2 linked regions of the Lytechinus pictus genome follow. The protein of the gene in region 2 binds, or shares a complex with, the protein of the main gene of each other region. Links are inferred from orthologs where the notes say so. Each region holds a gene or a part of one and is shown on either strand. Other genes may lie near its edges.

Region 1 (7,287 bases), on a different chromosome or scaffold from region 2:
TGCATACCGACCAGGATGCATGTGCATACATGTATACTGTTTCGTGAAAATTGAGCAAAACTGTAAAATGTCATAACTTTCTTATTTTACATCTGATTTTGATGAAATTTTCAGTGTTATGCTTGTTGGATTTTTTTTTCTTTTTATTCAAATCAACTTTTTGTTGGGGTGTACTTGTCCTTTAATAATGTGAAGTAACATGTATATTTACTACATGTATAATATAATAATGTAGATATCTTCGTGTACGACACTTAACACTTAGACTTAGATCTACATGTGTCTTAGTCTAGTTAACGTAGACAGTAACTTTATTAATAGTCTAGATGATTATTAATTATGGACAGCAACACAACCAAAAAGACAACACAAATTGTGACTGCCGCCTGCCCTATTTTTTAGTTCAGTTCTTATTAACCCCCCTACATCACATGTAATGTACCTATTACTAGTAAAGTAGTACCAGTACAGTCAGACCGCAGGTCCCTATGCTAATGAGCAAAAAGGCCAGATTCATCCAAATCATCTCGTGGCTGAATCCTCCTCCTTGCAAAATCTCGTGATTCGTGAGATTTTCTTTCTCTTAGAATTTACCTGTTTTAACCTCAAGTTAAATGAAATATTATTGCACCATCAGATAGAGTAAATGTTACTCTTTCATATTGGTCATTTATTTTGTATACAATATTTTGTTAAATAAGTAAATTTCTGGCCTGAAAATGTGCCTCAAAACTGAATTTTCTTCCTCTGTTTTCTTTTGCAAATTGTGCAAAACTTTTTATTTTGAGCCTCAATGATATCTATATCACCATAAAGCTGAACTTCTGTACTTTCTCACAATGCCACTCTTGATATGCGGCACCTTTTAATCGGATCAAGATCACACTTTTCCCACCAAGGTACAAGACGAGATTTCTGAAATTTTGTACATGCATGAAATCCAGAGTTCTGATTGGCTGGATAAGGTTCACAGAACAACAGGCGCGGGGTATTTGAGGAGATTACCACATGGGAAGTGTGACCTTCCCATGAACCCAGGCACTGGAACCGTTGGAATTTGCCAGTGTGTGGTCTCTTTGACCAATCAGAGTGCAGTATTCTTGTTTTCATGCTGCTTTATGTACTTGGCAAATGAAAAGTGTGATCTTGACCCGATTAAACCAATTCTTATTTTGAAACCTATGTCATTTTAAAGCATACATATTCAGCTTTATCATGATCTAAAAATCATTTGGGCTCAAACAAAAATAAGCAGCTTTTTTCATGTGAAAATAATTATTTTGTAGCATATTTTAGATCAAAATTTTAACCTACAGTATATTACAAAATCTTTGAATGAATTCAAACACATGACCTAAAACTAAAAGAATGATTCTTCTTCTTTACAATGATACCAAATTCATGAAATTCGATGCACAAGTAGAGCAGCAAAGACCGAATGAAAAGAGGTGTTTTGGTCCGCATCAAGCTCATTAAATATGCAAAACATCTCAAGTCATGAATATCAATTATCACTTGGATGAAAGAAGCCACTTTCTTGGGACCTGCCGTCTGACTGAGTAGTATAGTCACGTATTGTATTACCGGACACTATTATGTTTCCGGACGCGCGTATCACTGCGTTCTAAAACAAATTCGTACCGTAAGACTTCCGCAATTCAATTTCACAGAGCAATACATAGAACAAGATTGCAAAAACAAAGCAAAAAATCAAACTTTTACCTAATTATCTCTAAAAATTACAGAAAATGCTTAAAATATCATATAACATAGTTTTGTATTAACAATTGATATATTTTCTAACGGAAATATGGGCCTGATTTGCCGAATTTCAATCTCGTCCACTCCTTCGATCGAATGACGAGGTGTGGGGCATTGTGGGTGATCGTTGACGGCTAGTTCTCAAGGTACCCGTGCGCGAGGTTTACCGTGAGTAGAGCCGTCGATCGGCAGCGCATCGATAGAACTTGATGAGCGTCACGATACGAACGCGTGCATATTATTATTGGAAAGTGCCATGGAACATGCAGCTAACAAGACAAAAAGTTATCAAACACGAATTTATTACCAACATCTGCTCAGATTCGATATAAAAAAAGCAAATAATACTTAGAATTTACTCATGATATGATAAAAGAAGAAAAAAATCACAAAAATTTGTTCTTACATCATTATAATCAAGGATATCTTTACCCGTCCGGCGCGCGTCCGGAATCATGATGTAATTTGTCGCGCACAAAAATAATGGTTTTTCGTGGAGGGGTATGCGGCAAGTGCGATACGAAGAAATAGGTTGGTAAATATAAAATAATGTTATCATATTCATAATTTTCATAATATTTGGAAAAGCAAGCGTGAATTTTTCTTGATTGCATTTCCTCTAGTTGTCATTTTTAAAGCACTGAAAATATTAAAGGTGTCATGTCAGGCAATAATAATACTATTACTAGGCCCTATATACACTGCCATCACTAGTACTTTTAATTTTATACAAATAGTGAGTCCTAGTCCTACTACTACTAGTACTAGTACTAGTCCTAAAGGCTAAGAGTTACATGCCCTACATCATATGGGAATTTCTATTTGATCATTTACAATAATTGTAAAGAAAACGTCTAAAATACATGCTACCCAGCACTGTAATCAGATACCACTGCAGTAGACGTTTCTCAGCTAGCGGGTTTGACCTCTAACTCGCCGACGTGCTTAGGGGCAACTCCGGTATGCGAAGCATTCAGAATCCGCTGCATTCGCTAACTGCTTCTCCGTTGACTCATGCTGAGCGCGATAGAATTTCCATAAATAAATACAATTTCTGACTATAGGAACTGCTAATACATAGGAAATATACTGGAAATTGGTGGTTTAAAAGTATTCTAGCTCACAACATCAAAGGCTTTCAATAACAAGTATTAAGTTGATAGAAACACTCACGTTTTTGTCATCGGTGATCGATAAAATTTGCCAAAAAGCCACTCCTAAAAATATAATCCGCAGCTAGCGGAAGTCGACAACATCAACAGTGAAGTGTGCAAGAGGTTCGCTGATTCCTCTCTCAAGGGCTATGTCCTATGCATATTGCGATACTTGAGGATCAGCGAGAAACAGTAGTCACAGAATTAGGGCCCCGTCCCCACGGCCACACGATCGGCATGGGAGAGGGGCTATTGATTGATTAATTGATGGATGGATGGATGGGGGATGGATGGATGGATGGATGGATGGATGGATGGGTGGATGGATGGATTGACTGACGGATGGATGGGGGATGGATGGATGGGTGGATGGATGGATGCACTAGCGTACCTACGGGGGGGGGGGGGGGGCAGAGGGGGCAGACTGCCCCCCTGACGAGTCACAACCCATGCAAGGGACATATGCCTGCCCCCCCCCCTGACGAGTCTTGAAGACCTTTTTTTTTGCTTGTCAAATTTTTATCTGGTACAAAATCATTTATTTGTGGTTGAAGACCTTTTTTTTTTTTTTTTTTTTTTTTTTGCTTGTCAAATTTTTTTGGCGGACGAATTTGCCCCCCCCCCCCCCCTGTGGAAAATCCTAGGTACGCCAGCGCCACTGGATGGATGGATGGATGAATTTTACTTGGTAAGTCACCGGCCACAACATAATAACATTAAAGGCTTTCAAAGGAAGACCCACGAAAGCTCGAAAGCTTATTTCCAGTGGGGTCCTCGATCGATATGTAGGCCAAAATAGAATTGAAATAATAAAAGGTAAATTTATACTATTTACACACAAAAAGGAAATCACAATTCACTTTAAGCAATGAATAAGATATAGAGATGATATATACAAGAAAAATATATAAAGAAGAGAAGAAGAAGAAGAACGGAAGAAGAAGAAATTAAGAAGAAGAAGAAGAAGGAGGAGGAGGAGAAGAATTACGGAAGAAGAATTGAGGAGGAAAGGAAGAAAAAGAACACGTAGAACAACAACAATAACAACACGAAGAGGAGAATAGAAGGAAAAAAGATAAAAGAAAAATAAGGAAAAGAAAAAAGGACATACATATCTATAAAAAAAAATCAATCATATTTATGTAAAATAAAATTACCTGACAGAGGAGAAAAGATCACGGTCTGTATTCAGGTTGGTATAACATATCATTTGCATATTCTCTTAATTTGACTCTCAATGCTCAATGAAGATATGTATATTTAAAAAAATAAAAAAATCCCAATGAGATGATGATAATAATAATAAATACGTTTATTGAAAAAGAAAGTGGAGGCTGAAAAAAAATGGAGTACAAAATCATGTTTATAAAGCATTCAATTAATTGGTTTCTCAGGTTGGGGTTTTAAAGATACTGATAGTTAAAATTCATAATCACGAGATCCGGCAAAATAAAATAAAGAAAAAAAATATGAAAAAAGTAAATAATTGTATTTTTTCAGCCTCCACAACCTGTTGAGCCAAATCAACGATTTATCGGTCCGGAGGGGTTGTACAGATGAAGCCTTAATTGAAACTCGTGCCTATTTTCAATTATTTTTTGTGAAAGGGGGTACCCATTATTATTACGGATTTTCTTCCTAAAAGAGACCCATGTTGTGTTCTAGTCGTTTGTAATGGCATGTGTAACTTTAAAAAAAAAATTGTTTACTGACGGACGCAAAAATTGAAGTTTGTTGGAAAACTGGGAAAAAATGACTTAAATGGGTTAAATTTACGAAAAGACAAAATCATTTACAAGGTATGTTTAAAGGTCTAGTTCACCTAGGAAAAAACAAGTTAATTTGAAGAGAAAAATAAAAAAAGCATAACACTGAAAATTCCATCAAATGATCGGATATAAAATAAAAAAGTTATGACACTTTAAAGTTTCGCGTATATTTTTCACAAAACAGTTGTATAAATAACTCATTAAAATGCAAATGAGAGAGTCGATGATGTTCCTGACTCACTATTTCTTTTGTTTTTTATTGTTTAAAATAACTATTTAAATTTTTGCAGATTTGACAATAATGACCCTCTTGATAGGCCTACTATAGTTATAGAATCACAAAATGTTAATGATAATTACTCAGTCATGTTCAGGGAGGAATAAAACTTTGTTTCACATGACAACGAGAAGAAAATTAGAATATTTCATATTCCATGTAATGAAATACAAAAGAGTGGATGCCATCAGCCCGGGGTCATCAGTACCCTCATTTGCATGCCGACCAGTATGTGAATAACTATTACGTGAAATTAAGCAAAACTTAAAAATGTTATAACTTTCTTATTTTACATCCGAATTTGATGAAAATTTATTTGTTATACCTGTTTGATTTTTCTCTTTTTATTCAAACCATCTTTTTGTTGGGGTGGGCTTATCCTTTACAGATTTTCAAGCTCAAACTGATACCCCAATACAATACCCCATGTTTAAAGATTTTTCACTAAAAAAAATGACTTAATAGATCGATCGGGGTTCTCTCAGCGGAAGACTAGTGTGAGTTGATCGAAAGCTAATGATGGGCACTTGTCGTTCATTTCTACTAGCCTAGGCTATACTTTTCTCTAGAGACATTTTTAGTTATATGGGTAAATAGAGACGAGTTTGTGTCTACGACTTCTAATTTTCATACTATTCTCTCTTCTTCATTCATTTCTCTCCCCTTTTCTCCTCGGTATTTTTTCTCCTCTTCGGTACCTTACCCCTCCCCTATGCCTTTTATACGTCCTATACGTTTTATAAAAAAAAATCCATACGTTTTATAAAAAAATAAGCCTCTAATAATTTACCTTTTAATATCTGACACACACACAAAACAGTCTTTCAATGAAAAATCTACATTTTTTTCCGAAAACCCCCAAAATAAAAATTGAATTGAACGGTCGATGTTGAACCATGGCCATGGACCTTATTTGGCACAGCGCCATCTCTGTCGAATGAACCCAACGAAATTTAGTCGATTCGATGAAGATATCGCCATCACGCGGGTGTCTTGAAAAAAAAGAAGGGAAATAATGATGGGATTTATCGCTTCAATTCAACCTCCACAGTCATCAGTGAGGTGGCAGAAAGATGACACCATTGCTTTCGTGGAGAAACAAGACTTGTCTAAGGGGACATTATACATAGCTGAAAGGTAAAAAAAACTAAGTAATAAGGCGTGCGCGCTGCGCCGCGCCTGTCGGGCATGATCAGAGACTCCATTTAGACGAAACTCTAGCCGTCATGATCGGGGAAGAGTCGGCCTGGACCCGGTACAAATTGCGCTGGGATTTATTCCTGATCCTGCAGCAAGCGCCGCGCCCGACATGCATGCATGCAGCATGGCCTGGTCGTTCCGGATTATTTTTGCCAGGGGGTCGGCTAATGAGAGAGAATGAAGCTTGTGAAAGGCTGGATAATGGGCTCCAAATTCGGTAGGCCTACTGATGCATGTGGTCTGATACGATCGAGCGAAGTTCGTGCAGCCTGCAGTGCAGGCTCCACTTCACTACCGCTACTGGCGCTAGCTACAGTCACTAGTCACTACATGCATGTACGTCTACGCTCCACCAACCCGAAGTTCGTGCAGGCTCCACTCCACAGAGTCCACTACCGCTACACTACGCTCCACCAACCCGAACTTCGAGACCGTGAACTCGATCTGATATTCCGAGTGACAAAGGACATGAAAGGTGGGGTTTTATGGGGGGGAAATATAAAATTCATGCAACATCACGATATTTAATAAAAACAATAAAACTAATAATAATATTCTTACTTTACACTAAGTTTCACTTCTTTTCCATGCTTCTATCAGTCTCAAAATTGGTGATTTAGTTTAGAGCCAACATGAAGTTCCTCACACATAAATAATTCGCTGCCAATTTCAAAACATCGCATGCGGATGCGATACATTGTATGTGCGAGGTGCCGGGTCCGGTCCAAGCTCGGACCCTCGCGCATGCGATGTTTTGAAACCGGCAGCGAATTATTTATATGTGTGAGGATGTGAAGTGGAGTGGAGCCTGCATGAACTTCGCTCGAGGTAGGACTGATATAGACAGCTGGCAGCAGTCTGTTTCGCGGAGTTTTTTAACATTTTTAATTTTTTTTTAATTCTCGTACACAGACGGCTCGCGATCGTGCAGCCGCCATTAGGGGGTTAACAATGCAAAATCCAGCTGTGAAGCCTGTGATCCCTCCGATGCCGGGACTCATCGATTCTTGTCTTTATTTCATAAAAATATATAAAAAGAACTGGACTAAATTAAAGTACATGTATTCCGTTTTGGCCTGAAATGGCATGCACCAAAACGGGGAAAAATAAACTTCAAAAGGAAAAA
Region 2 (7,444 bases):
TAAAGAATGAAAGGGGATAATCTTTCAACATGAATTCACTGCCCTTTAAATTTTCAACATTAATGTGATAAAAGTAAAACGCCTTTTTGATGAGAGGATTGAACTCAAGCAGTAACCTTCCATAAAAACTAATTGCCCCACACAGACATCCTATCCAATTAAAGGGGAAGTTCACTCAAAAATCAAATTGGTTTTATAAAAAGAGAAGAGATAATAAACTCATTAATGAAAGTTACCAGAAAATCCACAACAAAGCTGTGGAATCTAAACTATTTGTATTTTGTGACGTCACATGCATGGAGCTACCCAATAAAATATAATATTTTATCAAAAGAAAATTATTTCTCATGTGCACTGACTTAATACATCATCAGATATATCATTTCATGTAGGGCCTACATGCTTTTGAGCGAGAAAATATTTCCAGTCATGAACCATTCAAAACTTCATAGGTTTCTTTTACTTTTCTAATATTTGGATATACTTTTTTTAATCTAAACTGACATAATACAAAGATGATTCCCCCACACCTTTAAAGGGGATTATAACTAACACAGTAGGCCTAATCTCTGTAACCTACATACAGTGAAAAGTAAAAAGGTACACTGAATCATCTAAATCATCATCTATTATTTACCTATACAATAAAATTTATGACTAGTCTATATTATCATAAGTTGGTTTTTGTAGTCACAGAAAGGATTCAAGGAACGTTGTGAAGCTTTGATTTATATTACCACTTTGAACCTGGGGGAAGGAATGGGACCTTGGCAGGATAATAAAACCTTTTCCTAGTTAATACTATTTGGATACATGATGACCTGATACTGTGAGTATGGGATACTTCCAAGGTAGTGGTTGTATGCTGGGCCCTACACTGTAAAAATGTTGTTTAAAATGTTAGCGTTGTTTTGATAAGCCTGTCACTCTAACAACTATTGATCAAATTTTTGAACAGATTAAGAAAGGTTTAAACAATAGTTATTGGAGTGACAAGCTTAAAATGTTTAAACAGCAATTTTACCGCATATATCTTTTTAACGGTGCATAAATGAATCTAGCGGCTGGGATTATATAGGCGTATGTGTGGTTAAGTGCTTCATAATTTGTTTGTTATTTCATATATAGCGCTACACCAACCCAGACTACTGCTATTAACAAATGGATACTCAACTAACACAACTTCACACAAAAAACATTCACAACGAGCATTAAAACGAGCATTAGAATAAGCAATTAGTTAACACTCAGCTGCTCAACAAAGCATTGCAAAGCAACATTCTTAATTTCAAATGACTGATTAATCATGAATTAAAAATGGTTAAAAATAAAGTCAAATTATCACATGGCAGACAAATGCATTAAAACAAAGAAAACATCATATAAACATTTACATACAATTACAAACAAAGTACAAATTATTATTTATTTTATCAAAATTTTATATAATGCATCAATGACATTTCTTTTCAAGTTGATTTTTTTTAAACAGAAAGAGATTTTCAATGCAAATATATTCAATCAGCCTTCATGGAGCAAGAGAAATTCATGCATAAGAATATATTCAAAACTATGTATAAGTAACAAATATCCTAGATTTAGGCCTAATGTATCATTCATTGCAGCATAATATCTAGATACAAGAAACAGTGCCAAAAAAAAATTTCATGCATATGTGGTGAGCCAAACTTTATTCTCAAAAGAATATTTAAGAAAATAAACAGAAGCAGACTTAAACAACTAATAAAATGCTTGCATGTCTATAAAATGAATATTAGAAATCAATCAAATTGCTGGTTTAGAGTAGACACAAAGCTGTTTATGCAGTATAATGAAAAATAATTTCTAGCCGCTAACAATGCTCAACATAATCGCAACAGAAATTGACAATGGGGTGCTTTAAGGTGTGTCCTAGAACCTATATCTGCAACAAAAGACTACTATCAACAGCATAGGAGTGGCTAGGACTAGTTCCCGTTGTTACTAGATTTCTTAAATATCAGAGTGTGATCTGTTTCCTTAAGTGCTAACAGGTACAGATGGGATTAAGTAATGGTTGTACTTACAGCATCCAAGTTCATCAGATCTATCGGCGCAATCGTAGTAACCGTCGCATATTTGGGTGGTATCAAGGCAGCTTCCGTCAGGACATCTATCCTGGCCAAACGCACACCTTGGTGGGCATCCTTCCTCCTCGGACGGCTCCGGACAGTGCAAGACACCGTCGCAACGGAGGTTAAGGGACATGCAGATCCCGTAGTAAGAGCAGTAAAACTCTCGACTGAGATCGCATTCCGGTCCTGGTTGGGTGATCGCTTGCGTCGAGACGAAAGGCGTGGTAGAGGTCCCTAGAATAACTGCACAGAAAACAATAGAAATCATGGAGGGCATCAAATGAGTATTCTGATCCATGGTTGGTTGGTTTAATTCTCTTTAACAAAATTCTTTGAGTCTCCTTAATCAAGTAAAAAGGCAACACATGCGCAACTACTGACAAGTTGTTCCACGTTGCGTGTTCATTCTGTTGCCATCACCAAAACAGACCAGTGATGCAAGGGATTCCTTCGGAGCAGCAGATGACAAAACAAGAATAAATCGTGAGGTTTTCCTGGATCAGAAAATGGAAACTGACGTGGATAATCCCGGGGAAATCCGCAAGGTTTCGGTTCACCAACTTGACTTTGAGCTGGAGGTCTGGACGGAACCTAGAAGCTCCCAAGCCAACATTCCAAAGGCTTGGCCGTCTGAGCCCGAGGTATGTATCCTAATCCTCTTTAACTGATAAATGTATCAGTCAATGTTCCATTAAGCATCAGACCATGAAATACTGCCTCCACGGCTCAACAGAGGAGAGAGACCGAGAGAGATGGCGAAAATCAGTATCACTTAATTTTCTTCCAAATCAGCCTCAGTCAGGAAATCATCATCTACAATCTTTTTAGAATAAAATCCACTCTATGTCCATCAACTCCAGTGCTACCCCTCTTTCTCTCCAACTATCCTCCTTCCCTACTGTTCAATCCAGCACCCTCTTCACTCCACGGCGCTGTGCAGTGTACTCCAAAAAAAGTTTTGGCACCAAACTAAACCCCTCGGATCCACAGAAGATTCTACTTTTCCAGACCCATTTCCTCAACTTTGTTCACCATTGTGAATTACTAGCATTTTATGATCTAAGAAGTTGTAAGCGTGGGTAAGAATCACTTCACTGATAATGATTGCCATTATTACAAATACTTGTATACTGCAATTCCTCATGGATATTGAGTTAGAAATATACTCAGAGAAGTGTAGCGAAAGTATTCAGACAATAGAAGGAATGGGTCTGAATAACAAGACTAGCTTAGAGTTAAATTTCAGAGGAAAGAGGGCAGGCTTTCTCTTTGACAAGTTCATAGACCATGGGGTAATGCCTGTCATGCAACTTAGCGACAAGAGAATGGACATGAATGGAATAAATATTTCTTTGCCTAGAAAAAAGTGAGGATGTGGCTTGATGTAAACATGGCGTGAAATAAACTAATTTGACTTGGAGGATGGAGGGTGAGTGGTAGCAAGGGGTGAGTGGTAGCAAAGGTGGAGAGGGAGTGGTAGCAAAGGTGGAGAGGGAGTGGTAGCAGGGTGGTGGGTGAGGGGTAGCAAGGGTGGAGGGTGAGTGGTAGCAAGGGTGGTGGGCGAGTGGTAGCAAGGATGGTTGAAGAATGGAAGCAAAAGGGGAAGGGTGAGCGGTAGCAAGGGTGGAGGATGAGTGGTAGCCAGGGTGGAGGATGACCAGTGGCACTAGCAGGGAGGGACTTAGGGGGAAAATCCTCAGGAGGGGACTGGAAAGAGTAAATAGATAGCTAGATCTAAATAAGGGGTAAAAGAAAGAGGATTTAAATTGGAGGGGAGGGGTGACTTAAAGCAAGGGTGCACATGATTTGTAGGGCCATTTGAGGGCGGTGTAGGGTTCACTCAAGCCAACAAAGTCGCCATAGACGAGACAGGGGTGTAGATAAATAACAACAGGAGAGAGAAAGAATTGTCTTTAGTTCAAGGTGACTGAAAGAAAAGGAGTCTGGTAGGGAAAAAGGGGATCTAGTGTTGGGGTGCCCTTGACCAGTCATCTTTCAAAAATCTATTGACTAAGTTAGCAAGCAAATTCTATGGGCGTATGAGAACTTTTGAAAGAAAATACATTAATATGAAAAAAATATTGTAAATTACAAACCCCCTCCCCTCTCCTCCCTTCCAGCCCAGTTTAAAATCATTCAGGTTTGTCAAAATCCTTTACAGCCCCCATCACACTTATTCGGAATCAGCAGGAATCAAGCAGAAGCTGGAAAGAAAAAAATATTCAAAAAATTTAGAAATTTTTGGGAGGAACTTATGAATTCACCAAACTGGAGTTGAAATTCAGTAAATTGACCAGGTGTATCATCATACACTAGTCAAAATGAACCACAATAGAGTCAGATTGATAATTCGTGCTACGTTCTTGGACATTCTAGGGGCATTCTAAATATCCTGACTGCATTCTGAGTGCATTCGAAATATTTTTGTCATTTCTTTTGGCCGTCCCAAAGGTTTTGGTCATGTTCAAAACATTCGAGGGATATTTTCGAACGGTGTTCGAAGTAGATTTAAATGACCAACTGGTGGTCAAACAATAGTCCTTTCATTCAGGCCAATTCTGCTTGATTCGGAGTAAGTGTGATGGGGGCTTACCGTTTGGAATTAGGTCGGACCTGAACCAACTCTGCCCAGCCAAATTTTTTTGACACAACAGACATTGTGGATGGTCAACACCCTATCACATCTAACTTTTGGCCAACCAAAATATCCATTTGGCTAATCAAAACTCTTTGCCAGCCTAAAGGCTCTAGATTTGAAGTGGGTAGGTCTACAATAACAGTTCATTGAACTACACGGCCCAGGTGTAGAAAGGTGGCAGTGGATATTGGTATTAAATCAAGTCCTGCCCTGGTGTGGTCCCCTGTTTAGTCAGGTGTACCTTCGGTATCTGGTGTACAACTGAAGTATTACAAAGAGTTGCAATTGATCCGATCAAACACAAATACGGAAAGCCAGCAATGCCAACATCAAAAATGAATGTTGTTTAAAATGTTTTCTAGACATGAGGTACATGATACATATTACAATTATCACTGTCTTGACAATTCAGTGTTTCCTCTTTGTTTATAAAAGGATATTGGAAACATTGGAAAAGGAAAAATTATGACAATGATGGATTTCCATATACATGAAGTTGAGGTTGAATGAATGAATGAATCAATCGCAACTCTTTGTAAGACAGGGCCCATGTATCCTTCAGCAGTCTGAAGATGGAATTCCATGTTAACATAATGGATATGATAACACTTTCGGATGCAAACAGAGTTTTAACAGACACAAAGGCCAGAATTCAAAAAGGTGGTTTTGAAATCCATCGGTTTAACCCATGGTTTAAGCAGATTTCCTGTATAAATTACGCTTATTTACCGCGTATATTATAAAATGTCCAATGCTGAAGCACGCTTTTGTCACAGTGAGCAAATCTGACACATGTTGCCATTGTTAAGTACGCTATTTTATTCACGAGTCCACTGTTTGAAGAGTGGACTCATTAATTCAAAACAGTGGACTCATGAATAAAATAGCATACTTAACCATGGCAAGATGCGTCAATTTGGCGCACTGTGACAAAAGCGCGCATCAGTATTTGACGCTTTTCAATAAACGTGGTAAATAAGTATAATTTATACAGGAAATCTGCATAAACCATGGGTTCAACCGATGGTTTTCAAAACCACCTTTGTGAATTTGGGCCAAAGAATATGTTAATTAAAACTATGTTCGTAATACTCTATACTTTTAGTAAGTATCTGTTTAATGATGCTCATTTCAGCAGTATCATAGTCCCATGATACCTACAGAGACCCTAACTACACCCTAACATTAAACCAACATTACAGGTTATTTGAAGTCTCGAAGTCTAGAAGTCTTAGAAAAGTTTGATCATATATATAATAAGTTCTGATTGAGAGACAAAGGATCGTACAGAGAAACAACTTACAAACATGATTTTTAAAAGCCGATTCACAGGTTTTCTATAAAACCAGGGTTGGCCAGAGTGGAAAATACAAGGTGGTTAATACCGGTAAATAATGCTTAATTACCTAAGATAATGTGAAATAGTTTCAAATGCAGGGAAATACTACAAAATATACTTCTTGGATATTTTCAAGTATTGCCCACTGGTGTTTCTCAAGCATATTCTAGCCTTTCTCTCTATACCTCCCTGTACATCTGAAGTACTTCCAAGCATTTACAAGTATTTTCCAGTATTTTCCACCAGGGGGGTGTTTCACAAAGATCTAAGTATGACTTAAGTCGCACTTAAATGTCGACACGTACATGATATGCAACGTGCAAACTTATTGATCAATACGCAGTAGTGCACGTCCTCTTCGCTTGATCTGACCAATACGGTCATGCCTTTTATACTGCGCGCAACTAGACCTTTAAGTGCGACTCTAAGTCATACTTAAATCTTTGTGAAACACCCCCGTGGTGGGAAATCCTGGGAAATTGCCCATCCCGTATAAAACTAAATTTTTACATCAATGTAAAAATTATGAACGCCAAGTTATGAATTACAATTGTAATTCATAATTTGGCATTAACAGTATCTGAATTCATTCCCTGCTAAGATCCATCCATCCACCCTACCCTTTCCTCTTATCCAAATGTGAAAACGGAAAACTAAATCATCCTCTGATCCCAAACTCGACTCATGTTGAAAGTCAGGGATATTATTTTCATAAGCAAGGGAGTATATATGCACGGGGTCACTTGTTCGTCACCTAAACAACAAGGCCCGGAGCTACGGGGACAATTGGGGTCTAGATGGTTCAACATCACGAGGAATGCTACACCATCGGCGCAGACCTTGTTCCTCTCGTGCATGCCTCCGCAAAGACCATAGAACCAAAAGATACCACACTCGAAAGTACGATGTAATTTCATTTTGAGGGTGCAAGGATTCAACTTTGTGCCCAAAATAACAGCAATATTCAACATTTACATAACACTTTCTACAAATGTTTCAAAGTGTTGCAAATCATTACCCCAGCTTTAGCACAGCTACACTGATCAGACCTTTGAACATTTTAATAATTTTATTCCTGCAGGGTAACTTAATTGTTCACTACACCAGGGTGGAGAGTGGCAAGTGTAGATAAATGCCTTAGGGTCATTTGTTGGCTCTATGCAATGTAACTCAGAGCTACAATGTAATGCCACGATCAAACAACATGATGCCGGCATAATTCATTTTGAAAGTGCTTTCTGGGAATCGTATGTGACAGGTGCAACAGGTACATTACACTTAAAATGAGTTTTTAGAGAATCACATTCTTACACCCTACATTTATACCTCTTTCTGATCATAATAACTTTGAAT

The links.
Region 1: basement membrane-specific heparan sulfate proteoglycan core protein-like (region 2) and LIM and senescent cell antigen-like-containing domain protein 1 share a complex: the UniProt entries of both Caenorhabditis elegans proteins name them as parts of the integrin containing attachment complex. The link is inferred for Lytechinus pictus from reciprocal best matches to the Caenorhabditis elegans genes unc-52 and unc-97.

The regions. Positions count from the first base shown.
Region 1 is NC_087260.1:17,722,971-17,730,257, forward strand, and holds the start of LIM and senescent cell antigen-like-containing domain protein 1, read right to left. Parts: upstream 3,138-7,287; 5' UTR 2,946-3,137; coding exon 2,935-2,945; intron 1-2,934. Other genes in the region: methylosome subunit pICln-like, read left to right, coding at 5,977-6,098. UniProt on the Caenorhabditis elegans protein: Component of an integrin containing attachment complex, which is required for muscle development and maintenance. Probably function in adherens junction.
Region 2 is NC_087258.1:16,588,834-16,596,277, forward strand, and holds the start of basement membrane-specific heparan sulfate proteoglycan core protein-like, read right to left. Parts: upstream 3,226-7,444; coding exon 3,160-3,225; intron 2,779-3,159; coding exon 2,676-2,778; intron 2,358-2,675; coding exon 2,067-2,357; intron 1-2,066. UniProt on the Caenorhabditis elegans protein: Component of an integrin containing attachment complex, which is required for muscle development and maintenance. Probable structural role in myofilament assembly and/or attachment of the myofilament lattice to the cell membrane.